3 linked regions of the Ovis aries genome follow. The protein of the gene in region 2 purifies or fractionates together with the protein of the main gene of each other region. This does not show direct contact. Links are inferred from orthologs where the notes say so. Each region holds a gene or a part of one and is shown on either strand. Other genes may lie near its edges.

Region 1 (3,276 bases), on a different chromosome or scaffold from region 2:
GACAAAACCCCACATGCATGGCCCTACCCTGTCCCCAGCTACTTGCACCCAGAATCCTATTACTAATCGTTCTTCAGGGTGATAAGCCCAGTGCTCTCTGCTTCAAATAAAGTTCTTTCGTAACAGGAAAAATTCACATGTTCTGGTGCCCTGACTGTTCCGTTTTTCTTCCTTTTACTGTTAAGTAATTTGCACCCACTGCTTCTAAATTAAATTTGTAATCTACAAAACACTTTCAATACATATATCAACTTATGCAAAATCTAAATATCTTTCTCATATTTTTTCAAGGTAAGTAAACAAGAGAAGTTGGCTCTTTCCATGCCTTGTGACTCAGGGACTCAAACTTCAGTAAGATGCTTTCCCCTGCTAGCACTCTACCCTCACTGTACCATCTGAAACGATGCCCTCAAAGTGCCTAATACTGTTTTACATAAAATAACAATCCAGTAAATCTGCCTGAATTTCAGCTTTAATAAACTGAAAATTTTAATTCAAGACAGTAGGCCTAAACCTTAAGTGTGCTAGGTTTTTAGTAATATGTAAAGCTTGAAAAAGAAAAACAGAAATTAGGTGATGAGTTCTGGTGATATTTTATTTAGAAAAACACAGACCAAACCGGAGCAAAGTCACAAAATCTTAAGCTTTTTCTTTTAAATGTCACACTAATTAGATGTAAGGTCATCGCAAATAACAAAAGTATTTACACACTGAACACAAAATAAATATAAAACAACTGAAATCAAATTAGTTCTCCATTGATTCATTTTGCATTCCCACTGCTCATCTTCTGTTTCATTTTTCTTTGTCTTTTGTAAATCCTTTTCTTTCTGGCTTTCAAATCGACTTTTGGCTCTGGTTTCACCCACTGTATTTCTACTGGCTTTTCCTCAGCCGGAGTAACAAAAACATCTGCAGTGGGATCATGGGGAAGAATAGTCTTTGGTTCTTTCTTTCTCAGCTTCTGCACATCTTTCACTTGCTGTTTCTCTCTGTATTTTGCAGCTGTGATGGATCTTATGACACGCCGATGCTAGAAACAAAAAAAATATGAAAGGTGCTTTTGAATAAAAATAAACATTTTATACATGGCAAGGACATTCACTTATGAAACCTACTTCCCTTTACCCTGCATCATCAAAAAAAAAGTAATCTGTAAGACTGGATGCAGCAAAAACTAAATTCAGTTTCACAGTTAACAGAACACTTATTTGACAGAATTACTTTGGCCCAAAAGTTTTAGGACATCAAGGACCAGTGAACAGAAACAGCTTACCATGTTTGGTGACTGGTAGTGAGGATTTTCATACAAAGTTGGTCCTCCAAAACTTCCCTGGAAAATCTTTATAAGATTTAAGACAAAACGGGGTCCTATTTCTACAAGAGCAGCATCTTCTTCAATGATCTTTAATTAAAAAAAGGAAACATTTCATTTTGATTTGAATAAAATACTTCTAAATGGTACATGGGCTATATCCTCATTACAAATGTGCTTAAAAGAACTAACAACCAATAAAGTTAAGGTGGAAGGGAAACTTGGCAAATGCCAAATCATCAATATTTTCTGAAATATATCACTGGTTACAGGTAGCTGCCATAGGAAAATATAAATGTCTTTTCAGTGTGTCTTTAAAATTGAGTCATTTCAATCTGGTCTGTATCTAGCTTCTCACAACACATGTCTTCTTGCAAAACTGGTCAAATATTTAAAACTGCAACCATGAGAACAAAATGTATTCAAGCACCCTATGGGGCACTCTTTCAAAATTTAAATCAATCCTTGAGTTGTTTTTATAAATCTAATTCAAATTAGATTAAAAGGCATATAAAAGGGTATATGGCAAAATTTATTTTTGAATGGCTACTGACTGTGGAATTAAGGAGCAACTTCTGAACCAAAAATATTACTATTTTTTGCTTAAGGTAGGGCTACATTCAGAGGTTAAGAAGGGGATATGTTTAACTCACATCTTTTCTGCTTAACACAAGCAGAAAAAAGCCCAGTTTATTTCACACGCTGTCTGAAATTCTGTCTTGCTGTTTTCATCCACCTCTCCTCCTGAATCAATCACTGTATGACTCATCTGATAGTTCTCATTAAATGTTTTCTACGGGGGCTATGTTTTTCTAAGTCTAAAACCACACCCCAGCCCCAGCAGACTCTAACCTCTTAGGAGAGAAACTTATATTTTACTCAATGTCTAGTGACTTGTGAGAAAATCCATACTCAGCTGATAGCCATGAACTTAGGTTATGAAATAGGGGTTATTTACTACAAGTCTGTAGGGAAAAGAAAGCTATGTAAGAGAAAAAGAGTATCATTTGCCTATTCTATATCATAAACACTATATATCCTAACTTATATAATTAAAAATATAAGCTAACCTGAAAGTTCCGAAACCATATCCTATTATCCAAAATGGTGAATGTAAACACATGGTCCACAAATGGCTGGCTTTTGGGATGATACCGTGGTGTACTGAAGATCTAGTGGAAAAAGGGACACGTTAGTTCTGTACTCTATGACATACCATGTGTGTTTTAGATAAAGTTAAAAGGAAGACACTTATTTATAATATTTTACTAAAAACAGTTTCTAGTAAAGATATTTACCTGAATTAAGAGCTCTTTTAACAAAGCATAATGTGGTAATTCATCAAAAACCTGTAAGAATAAAGTGAACATATTATTTGACAACATTAATTGTGCTTAAAATTGTGTTTTATTAACTAAACTGAATTATACAACTATATCCACTCAAAAAAACACAACCATGCACAGTAAGAAAATTAAACCTCATAAACTGAATGAGAAACTTACAGGGTCAAAAGACAAGAGGGGCCGAGAACCTTTTAAACAGTTTCCAGTCATCTTTAGCTCAGCTAGGGTATGAACTAGAAAAATTATAACAACAAAAACAGTTATAACTTTGGCACAATTATCCCAAAAGATTATTTTTAATTTTCTCACAAAAAAATTTAAATTGAGTCAACTTACTATTTTGAACAAGGAATTTAGCAGATGGTCCATGAGGTGAATTTGAAAGCCTAAAAAATATAAAAGAAGCTTTTTCAACTAATTAGAATTTAGAATGTAGTAAAAGCTTACTACCAGCTCAATTTAAAAGATACCACAGAGACTTCCCTGGTGGTCTAGTGGTTAACACCCTGTACTTTCAATGCAAGGGAGCACAGGTTTGATCCCTGGTCTGGGAACTAAGATCCCACATGCCACACGGTGCAGTCAGAAACATAAAATGCACAGTTTAAAAAAAAG
Region 2 (3,749 bases):
CAATTCCATTTTAAAAACATGAGATGGAGTCTGAACTCACGATTGTAAGTGGATACAGGCAACAAAATGTAAGCACACATGTAAGCAATATTAAGACTATGATATTAAGATTTATGATTAAAATTTAATCTACTAGATTTTAAGAGCTCAGTACTTGAATCTTGTCAAATAACTGAACTGCTTTAGAAAATACCTTGAATTTATAAATGCACGCTAGTTGTGGGAATTTTAAGTTGTAAAAACCCCCTTAAGATGATTTATTTTTAATTTACCAACATATACCATTTTGGGGTAACCAGGTTTTGGACTTGTAACTCAGACATTATTAAAGCAAAAGTATCAATAATTTCAAAACAGTCTCCTGAGTGCCTTAAAGCTGCCCAGAGGACACGACAGCAGCTCCCGTTCACTTGGAACTAACAGGGTACTAAGTTGGGCAGTGCACCAGGGCGAGTGACACTTGGCCCCGCAGAAGGAAGGTTCTGCCGAAGCAGGGAACAATAAACCGAACCGGAAAAAGATGGGAATCATCTTTCTTTCCTACTTCAGCGCCTGAAGCCTTTATTTTTAAAAATAAAACTGAAAAGCACCAAGTCAGCAATGGGAATCACGACTTCAAAGTCCGCGCCAGCGCCTCAGGCCCAGCTTCCGCCCCAGTGATGAGGAAAGCCAGCGCAGAACCCTGGCCCGGCAGAGGGTAGACCCCTATTGCTGGGTGGGGACGCAGCGGGTCCTGGTATCCTGGGGACGTGGGGCGGGGCCTAGGTCCTGAGATGCCTAGCGCTGCGGAGACTGGGCTCCGCAACAGTTTCTGCTCTGAAGTGTGGCCGCGATCAGTGCGGGGGCCTCCAGCCCGGATCCCACCAAGCTCTGCTGCCTGTAATTTACAGGATGAAAACAAGAGTGAATGAACCAGAAAAGCGCGCCTTTCCAAACCGTTTTGCAGCCTGCAGGGTCCGTTCCGGCCGGCGCGTACCAAGCAACCACGCCGCAGCCGAGACCGGAAAAGGCCGACTTGCAGGCGCTCGCGCCCCTGTCCCCGCCTGCGGGCCGTACCACCCCGGGCGACCCCTCCCGAGGAAAGGGATGGTACCGTCCCCGGCCTCCGATTGGCCGACGAGGCGGGGGCGTGGCCTCTGGAGCCCGGTTCCGCGCGCCAGAGCGCGCTCGCCACAGTGCGAGCCGGACTAGGAGCGAGCGCCATGGTGAGGAGTGGTTGTAGGTTGCGGGCGAGGTGGAGGCCGTGGTTTAGGCCTGGGTTTGGGCTGGAGCGTGGGCCGGGACCAGGGCCTTCCCCGGGGACGGGGCTGGGCAAACGTGAGATAAGCGCTTACTCTGGTGTCCCGGCTCCCTTTTCAGGTGCTGCTGCACGTGCTTTTCGAGCACGCGGTCGGCTACGCGCTTCTGGCGCTGAAGGAGGTGGAGGAGATCAGCCTTCTGCTGCCGCAGGTGGGTGGACATGGTGGGCTAGCCAGCGGCTCCGCAGCCCCTCGGGCCGCGCGGGCCCCAGCATGCACCGCGTGCTCCCACGTGGCCGGCCGCGCGTTGGGAGGTGCGCTGGGCCTGACAGTTCCAAAGTAGGTGGTCCTTACTTGCATTCGTGATTAGAATTGCGTTAGAAGCATTAAAAAGTAAGCTTCCCAGATTCCACCCCATACCAATGAAGCGGAACCGGGATTTGGGACCCATGATCTGTCCATTTTTAGTGTTCGGTTGGTCCTAAGAGTGCTTTCAGGTCCAAGAGCTGCTGCTGCTTTACTGCCCCCTAGAGGCAAGAGGGAGGGAAGAATATCACCTTTCTCCCCCCAGGTGGAGGAGTGCGTGCTGAACCTTGGCAAATTCCACAACATCGTTCGTCTTGTGGCCTTTTGTCCCTTTTCCTCGTCCCAAGTTGCCTTGGAAAATGCCAACGCTGTGTCTGAAGGTGAGTTGGCCACTAAATATTGTAGAGAGATGAGCCTAGATGTAGTTCTTGCTACTGTTAACCCTTTAACAACCTAGGATGTACGCTTTATTTCTTGTAGGCACTGTAGTAATGATTTTTAAGTGAAATCAGGCTGGGGTTGAGGGGCTGGTATAATGGTAGATCCAATCAAATGTGGTTCTCTGCTAGTTTGTTCAGTTGATTGCAAAGGGCAATTTTGATGCCAAAAGCCTGGAGGAAGTTTTAGTCCCAGAAGGCAGATCTGGTACTAAATACATCCATTGTGCTCCAGGGTGTGTTTCAAGCTTTCAATAATATATTTTACACTTAGGTTATGGGGCCTGAGTTCTGTTCTCCTATGGTTGATGCTGGCTTTGCAGTGATGACTTGAGTCTGTCAATCCCCTGAGTGAGTGTAATCACTGATGTCTCCATGTCTCTGAGCAAAGCCTCTGAGTAAGAGGAGGGCTCTAGGCACAGGCCATCTTAGCATACTCTGTAAGATCAGTCTCACTGATCAGCAGTTGAGGTGACAAGATCTCTTTTTACGATTTAAACGTCCTTCAGCATGTTAGTGGGAGCTCTGTTCTTTGCCTTGAGGTGTTGTTCATGAGGACCTCCGCCTGCTCTTGGAGACTCACCTGCCACCCAAAAAGAAGAAAGTACTTCTGGGGGTTGGGGACCCCAAGATAGGTGCGGCTATACAAGAGGAGTTAGGGTACAACTGCCAGACTGGAGGTGTCATAGCCGAGATCCTTCGAGGTGAGACAGTTTTGAAATCTGGAGCTGGTGAGGGGGCGGTGGTTCTGGAAACCTAGCGGGTTGCTTTTTAGAAGCCCTCCTGCTTGTCTGGTACCTATGCATGCAGGTACTAGCTCAGAGCCTTTCCTTACTCACAGTCTCACCCTCTTCTAGGAGTTCGTCTGCACTTCCACAACCTGGTGAAAGGTCTGACCGATTTGTCTGCTTGTAAAGCCCAACTGGGGCTGGGACACAGCTATTCTCGTGCCAAAGTTAAGTTTAATGTGAACCGAGTGGACAATATGATTATCCAGTCCATTAGCCTCCTGGACCAGCTGGATAAGGATATCAATACCTTCTCCATGCGTGTCAGGTAAAGTGCAGGGGTGACCTGAGAAACAAGGTCTTGGGTCTGTGGGTTAGCTAATTTTGAATCCTGAAATCAGGACTGGTAGAGCTGGGCCTCCTGATGCTTACCACAGGCTGTGTTCTTACACTGACTGTATAGAAAGAGGAGGCAGAGTAAACCCACCCCATATACACCTCAGCCCAGGCAGGCCCTTTACCTGGTCTGTATTGTGAATGGGGAGACATGGAGGTTTTGGGATCTGATTTGTTCCGATTTCCTCCAGGGATAAAGTAGATGTGGAGAGGGCTGAGTGTAGCTTTGAAGCATGGCAACTGGGCCAGGGAGTGATTGTGTTCTTTGCAGGGAGTGGTATGGGTATCACTTTCCTGAGCTGGTAAAGATCATCAATGACAATGCTACGTACTGCCGCCTTGCTCAGTTCATTGGAAACCGGAAGGAGCTTAATGAAGAAAAGTTGGAGAAGCTGGAGGAGCTGACAATGGATGCAGCCAAGGCTAAGGCTATTTTGGATGCCTCGCGGTCTTCCATGGGTCAGTACAGAGGCTAGCAGTGAAAATAAGGTATGGGGCTCTGAATATTGGGCTTCTGCATTCATACTTGATGTTCTTTAGGCATGGACATATCAGCCATTGACTTGATAAACATCGAGAGCTTCTCCAGTCGTGTGGTGTCTTTGTCAGAGTACCGCCAAAGTCTGCACACTTACCTGCGATCC
Region 3 (3,749 bases), on a different chromosome or scaffold from region 2:
TATATGTATTATGTTGCAGCCTGTGTTTGCCTTCGACAATATTCCTGAGTCAACATTCTCACACATGATGTTGGAAGCCTTGAAACTAGCCTATCACACAGATACAGCAACGTACTAATCTTAGGAGTTTGGGTAGAACGTTAATACTTTACGTATTTCGGACACTCCCAAAGCCCAAGAGGTCAAAACCCTTCTATTTATCCACACATGTCTGTTACTGATTTGACTTACTTTTTCAAAAAATAACTTCCAATTTTTAGACATAAAATATGGGAAACCTGTTAACAAGTGATAAAGCAGAAATTATACTGCTCTTTTGTATTGAATCTACTTTGCTTCTGAATTGTACTTGGGAAAAGAGCTCACTACTAGATGGAAAAAAAAACCCCTAGAAATCACTGAGGAGGGATAATTTGCTGGAAAACAAGTTAATAGTAATGCTTTATACTCCAACATATGTTCCTATAATCGTAGAAATAATTTCTATATCCATATACCGTGTATTTGTCATTTGTTTTTCAGGATTCCTCCTTAATTTCTGCCTATCTTTCTTCACCTTTAAGTCATCAACATCTACCCTATAACAAAGAAACTATGCTTCTTTTTCAATAAAAAAATTTTGTTGAGATGGAAAATATTAAAAGCCAAAAATGTACACAATTTTAAAACCTCGATTCTTTGTGGTGTTGCACGGAAAAAATTATATCTGCCCTCCATGACAAATACAACTCCCACTGATTTAAGAAAACACTCAGTCCGAACAGTCATCCGGAAAGTATTAAAAAAAATTTTTTTTTACTAGGAGAGTTTGTGTCTGAACCGTCAAGAAACGACAACAAAAAAAAGAAGCCCTTAACTGCTGAGGAAATGTAAGACTTTCCCAACCTGTCACCGGCACGGGGAACTAAGGGAAACGTTGACAGCTTTGAAGCTGCCCGCGACGGGAGCTCGGCCAGCCGCGGGGGGCGGGAAAGCGGGGCGCGGGGAGTTTTCGGGCCGCGGCGCGCCTTTGTCCCTGGCGGCAGGTGCGGCGAGGCTGCCGGGCCTGTCCCGAAGCCCCGCCGCCGGGCCCCGCCCCGCGCTCCCGGCCCGACCGGCGCGTCCCCACCATCGGGGCGGGGCCTCCGCCGCTGCTCCCGCCCGCCCGGGCCCACACAAAGGCCCGGCAGTCGGCCGAGAGGAAGCGGCCCCGCCCGCCCCGGGCCCGGCCTTACCCAGCCGCTCCGCCGCCTGCAGCCCCGGCCGCCGACAGCCGCGCCCCGCCCCGTGGAAGCCACGGCTGCTGCTATTGCTCCTCCGGCCGCGGCCGCTGCCGTCGCTCCAGCACCCGCCGCCCTCACCGCCCTCACCCCTCCCGGTACCGCCGCAAAACCAGTTCCGCGGCCGTCGAGCGAACCCGGCTCCGCACGACACTGCGTGCGCGCGCACACGGGCTAGTGGCGGCGTGCTTTACGGCAGCGGCGTGAGTGCGTGACGCTCGGCGGAGGCCTCAGTTGGCACGTGGCGCCTGCAGGGGCACGTTGTACCTGGGAGTGCTGGTGTAACTTCGGGCGCAGGCCTTTCGGCTTCCACTATGAAGCGGCCGAGTGAGTGTGGTCAGGGGGCGGGCGTGGAGGGGGCGTTTGTGTCTGATAGTCGACCAACCCACCAGGGTGCTCCGTCTCCCTGATCCCGCCTAGAACCGAGGGTTGGAAGGCCCCACGTGAGCAGCGCGGTCTTGTGTGCGGAAAGAAAGTCTGGGCCCCAAGGATGGAGATCAGGCCAGAGAGTCATGAGGACCCAGTGTCTGAGCCAGGTTTCGGGCCTGGCGTTTTCCCTTGTGCGGCCTCGTTCGGTCTGGCTCTGGTGAGGTCTGAAAACACGCACTGTTAGATTTTCTTCTGTGGTTCGTGCTGTTTGACAGGAAGTGGCAGTTCTGGGGTTATATGCTCCTGTGTACGATCCCAGTCTAATTTAGAAAGGTGGAAGTAGGGAAGCTGGATCTACAACGAATCTGTTAAGTTAGACTCTGGGACTTGGCTGGTCCGTGATTATTTTTACCACGCGCCCCACAATATTATTAAATTATGTTTCAGAGCCAGTTAATGCAAAAATGGATGTGACCTAAAGCGCGGTCATCAAAAGCTAAACTAGCTGATCATTTGTGGATAAAATCGATTTTGAAAAACAATAAATTAATCCTTTTGTGATCTGTTGCTTTGTAGAATTAAAGAAAGCAAGTAAACGCATGACCTGCCACAAGCGGTATAAAATCCAAAAAAAGGTAAGTCTTGGAAGAGTTATGAAACTTAAAGTTGCTCAGTCGTGCCCGACTCTTTATGAGGTCAGGGACTATATGCTCCGTAGAATTCTCCAGGCCAGAATACTGGAGTGGTAGCCTTTCCCTTCTCCAGGTGATCTTCCCAACCCAGGGATCAAACCCAGGTCTCCCACATTACAGGCGGATTCTTTACCAGCTGAGCCACAAGGGAAGCCCAAGAATGCTGGAGTGGGTAGCCTAGCCCTTCTCCAGCGGATCTTCCCAATCCAGGAATCAAACCCGGGTCTCCTGCATCGAAAGTGGATTCTTTACCAACTGAGTTACCAGGGAAGCCTGGAAGAGGCTAAATTGATTTCCTGCCCCAGAGATGTGGGTTAACATTAGTATGATTTCACTAGTGGAGGTTTAACTAGAATAGAGGTCAGATATACCTGGTCAGGAGGTCCGATATGGTGCAAGCTCTTAGGGAGCAGAAATAATTCAGTGACATGTCTGTAAATTTTGATCACCATAGTAGCAATTGCTGCAAAAAGAGTCCTGGTGACATTTTCTTGCTGTTTTATACATAAACATGCATGTTCTGTTTTATGGTTAAAGTTCTATGATTCTAGGTTATTTCACAGATATAACTTAAACTACAGCCACATTGGCTACTCACTGGAATTCTCTTTATTATTTCTGTAAACTGACGAAATACCATTATGATAGGTTCGAGAGCACCATCGAAAGTTGAGGAAAGAGGCTAAAAAACGGGGTCGAAAGAAGCCTAGGAAAGACCCAGGAGTTCCAAACAGTGCTCCTTTTAAGGAGGCTCTTCTTCGGGAAGCTGAGCTAAGGAAACAGCAGGTAAGATGTATTAGCTCACACTTTCAACAAGTGTGTGGGTGTGTGTAAAGTTACAACAGCAAGTCACTGGCTCATGCATTTCTCTTGTGGCTTGAACACAGCTTGAAGAACTGAAACAGCAGCAGAAACTTGACAGGCAAAAGGAACAGAACAAGAAAAGAAAACTTGAAACTGACCCTGATGTTGAGCTATCTAACACAGAACCTGTAAGAGAAGTAGGGGTTACAGTCATGAAAAGTGGAAATGAGTCACGTCTACTGACCTTCTAATTGTGTATCCTTTCCCTTGTCTTTATCCCCCAGGAATCAGGGCAACGCAAAGCTAAGAGAGCCAAGACAAGCAAACAGAGTCCGAAGATGCTGCACTGCCAGGAACTTAAAAAGGTATCATAGTCTAGGTTAGTGTCTAAAAGTGGTTGTGAAGTTTAAAAGACTTAAGAGTCATCTTTCCTTTCTCCTGACACCAACTTTATAGAAGTGGAAGTAGCGTTCTCTTGAGCGGGAAGAATTCTCCAGCAAGTTGGCTTGGTCTGTTACATTTAGCTGAAAGAAATATTAGAAAAGGGGGGGTGGCCATAGTCCCTGTAACCATTATATGGTCACACCAGGTCTTAGTTGCAGCACACAGAATCCTTAGATGTAGC

The links.
Region 1: the proteins of NOP56 (region 2) and BRIX1 purify together in Homo sapiens (affinity purification with mass spectrometry; 3 studies listed by BioGRID and IntAct, with this or other methods). This does not show direct contact. The link is inferred for Ovis aries from reciprocal best matches to the Homo sapiens genes NOP56 and BRIX1.
Region 3: the proteins of NOP56 (region 2) and GNL3 purify together in Homo sapiens (affinity purification with mass spectrometry; 4 studies listed by BioGRID and IntAct, with this or other methods). This does not show direct contact. The link is inferred for Ovis aries from reciprocal best matches to the Homo sapiens genes NOP56 and GNL3.

What each region holds. Positions count from the first base shown.
Region 1 is NC_056069.1:39,391,495-39,394,770, forward strand, and holds the end of BRIX1 (ribosome biogenesis protein BRX1 homolog), read right to left. Parts: intron 3,048-3,276; coding exon 2,998-3,047; intron 2,895-2,997; coding exon 2,821-2,894; intron 2,665-2,820; coding exon 2,614-2,664; intron 2,488-2,613; coding exon 2,386-2,487; intron 1,406-2,385; coding exon 1,277-1,405; intron 1,034-1,276; coding exon 764-1,033; 3' UTR 578-763; downstream 1-577. UniProt on the Homo sapiens protein: Required for biogenesis of the 60S ribosomal subunit.
Region 2 is NC_056066.1:52,250,209-52,253,957, reverse strand, and holds the start of NOP56 (nucleolar protein 56), read left to right. Parts: upstream 1-1,172; 5' UTR 1,173-1,202; coding exon 1,203-1,205; intron 1,206-1,359; coding exon 1,360-1,449; intron 1,450-1,809; coding exon 1,810-1,924; intron 1,925-2,298; exon of another isoform or gene 2,299-2,370; intron 2,371-2,523; coding exon 2,524-2,685; intron 2,686-2,838; coding exon 2,839-3,037; intron 3,038-3,124; exon of another isoform or gene 3,125-3,260; intron 3,261-3,376; coding exon 3,377-3,564; intron 3,565-3,645; coding exon 3,646-3,749. UniProt on the Homo sapiens protein: Involved in the early to middle stages of 60S ribosomal subunit biogenesis. Required for the biogenesis of box C/D snoRNAs such U3, U8 and U14 snoRNAs. Part of the small subunit (SSU) processome, first precursor of the small eukaryotic ribosomal subunit.
Region 3 is NC_056072.1:48,263,054-48,266,802, reverse strand, and holds the start of GNL3 (guanine nucleotide-binding protein-like 3), read left to right. Parts: upstream 1-1,491; 5' UTR 1,492-1,573; coding exon 1,574-1,586; intron 1,587-2,204; coding exon 2,205-2,263; intron 2,264-2,968; coding exon 2,969-3,106; intron 3,107-3,207; coding exon 3,208-3,312; intron 3,313-3,408; coding exon 3,409-3,489; intron 3,490-3,749. UniProt on the Homo sapiens protein: May be required to maintain the proliferative capacity of stem cells. Stabilizes MDM2 by preventing its ubiquitination, and hence proteasomal degradation.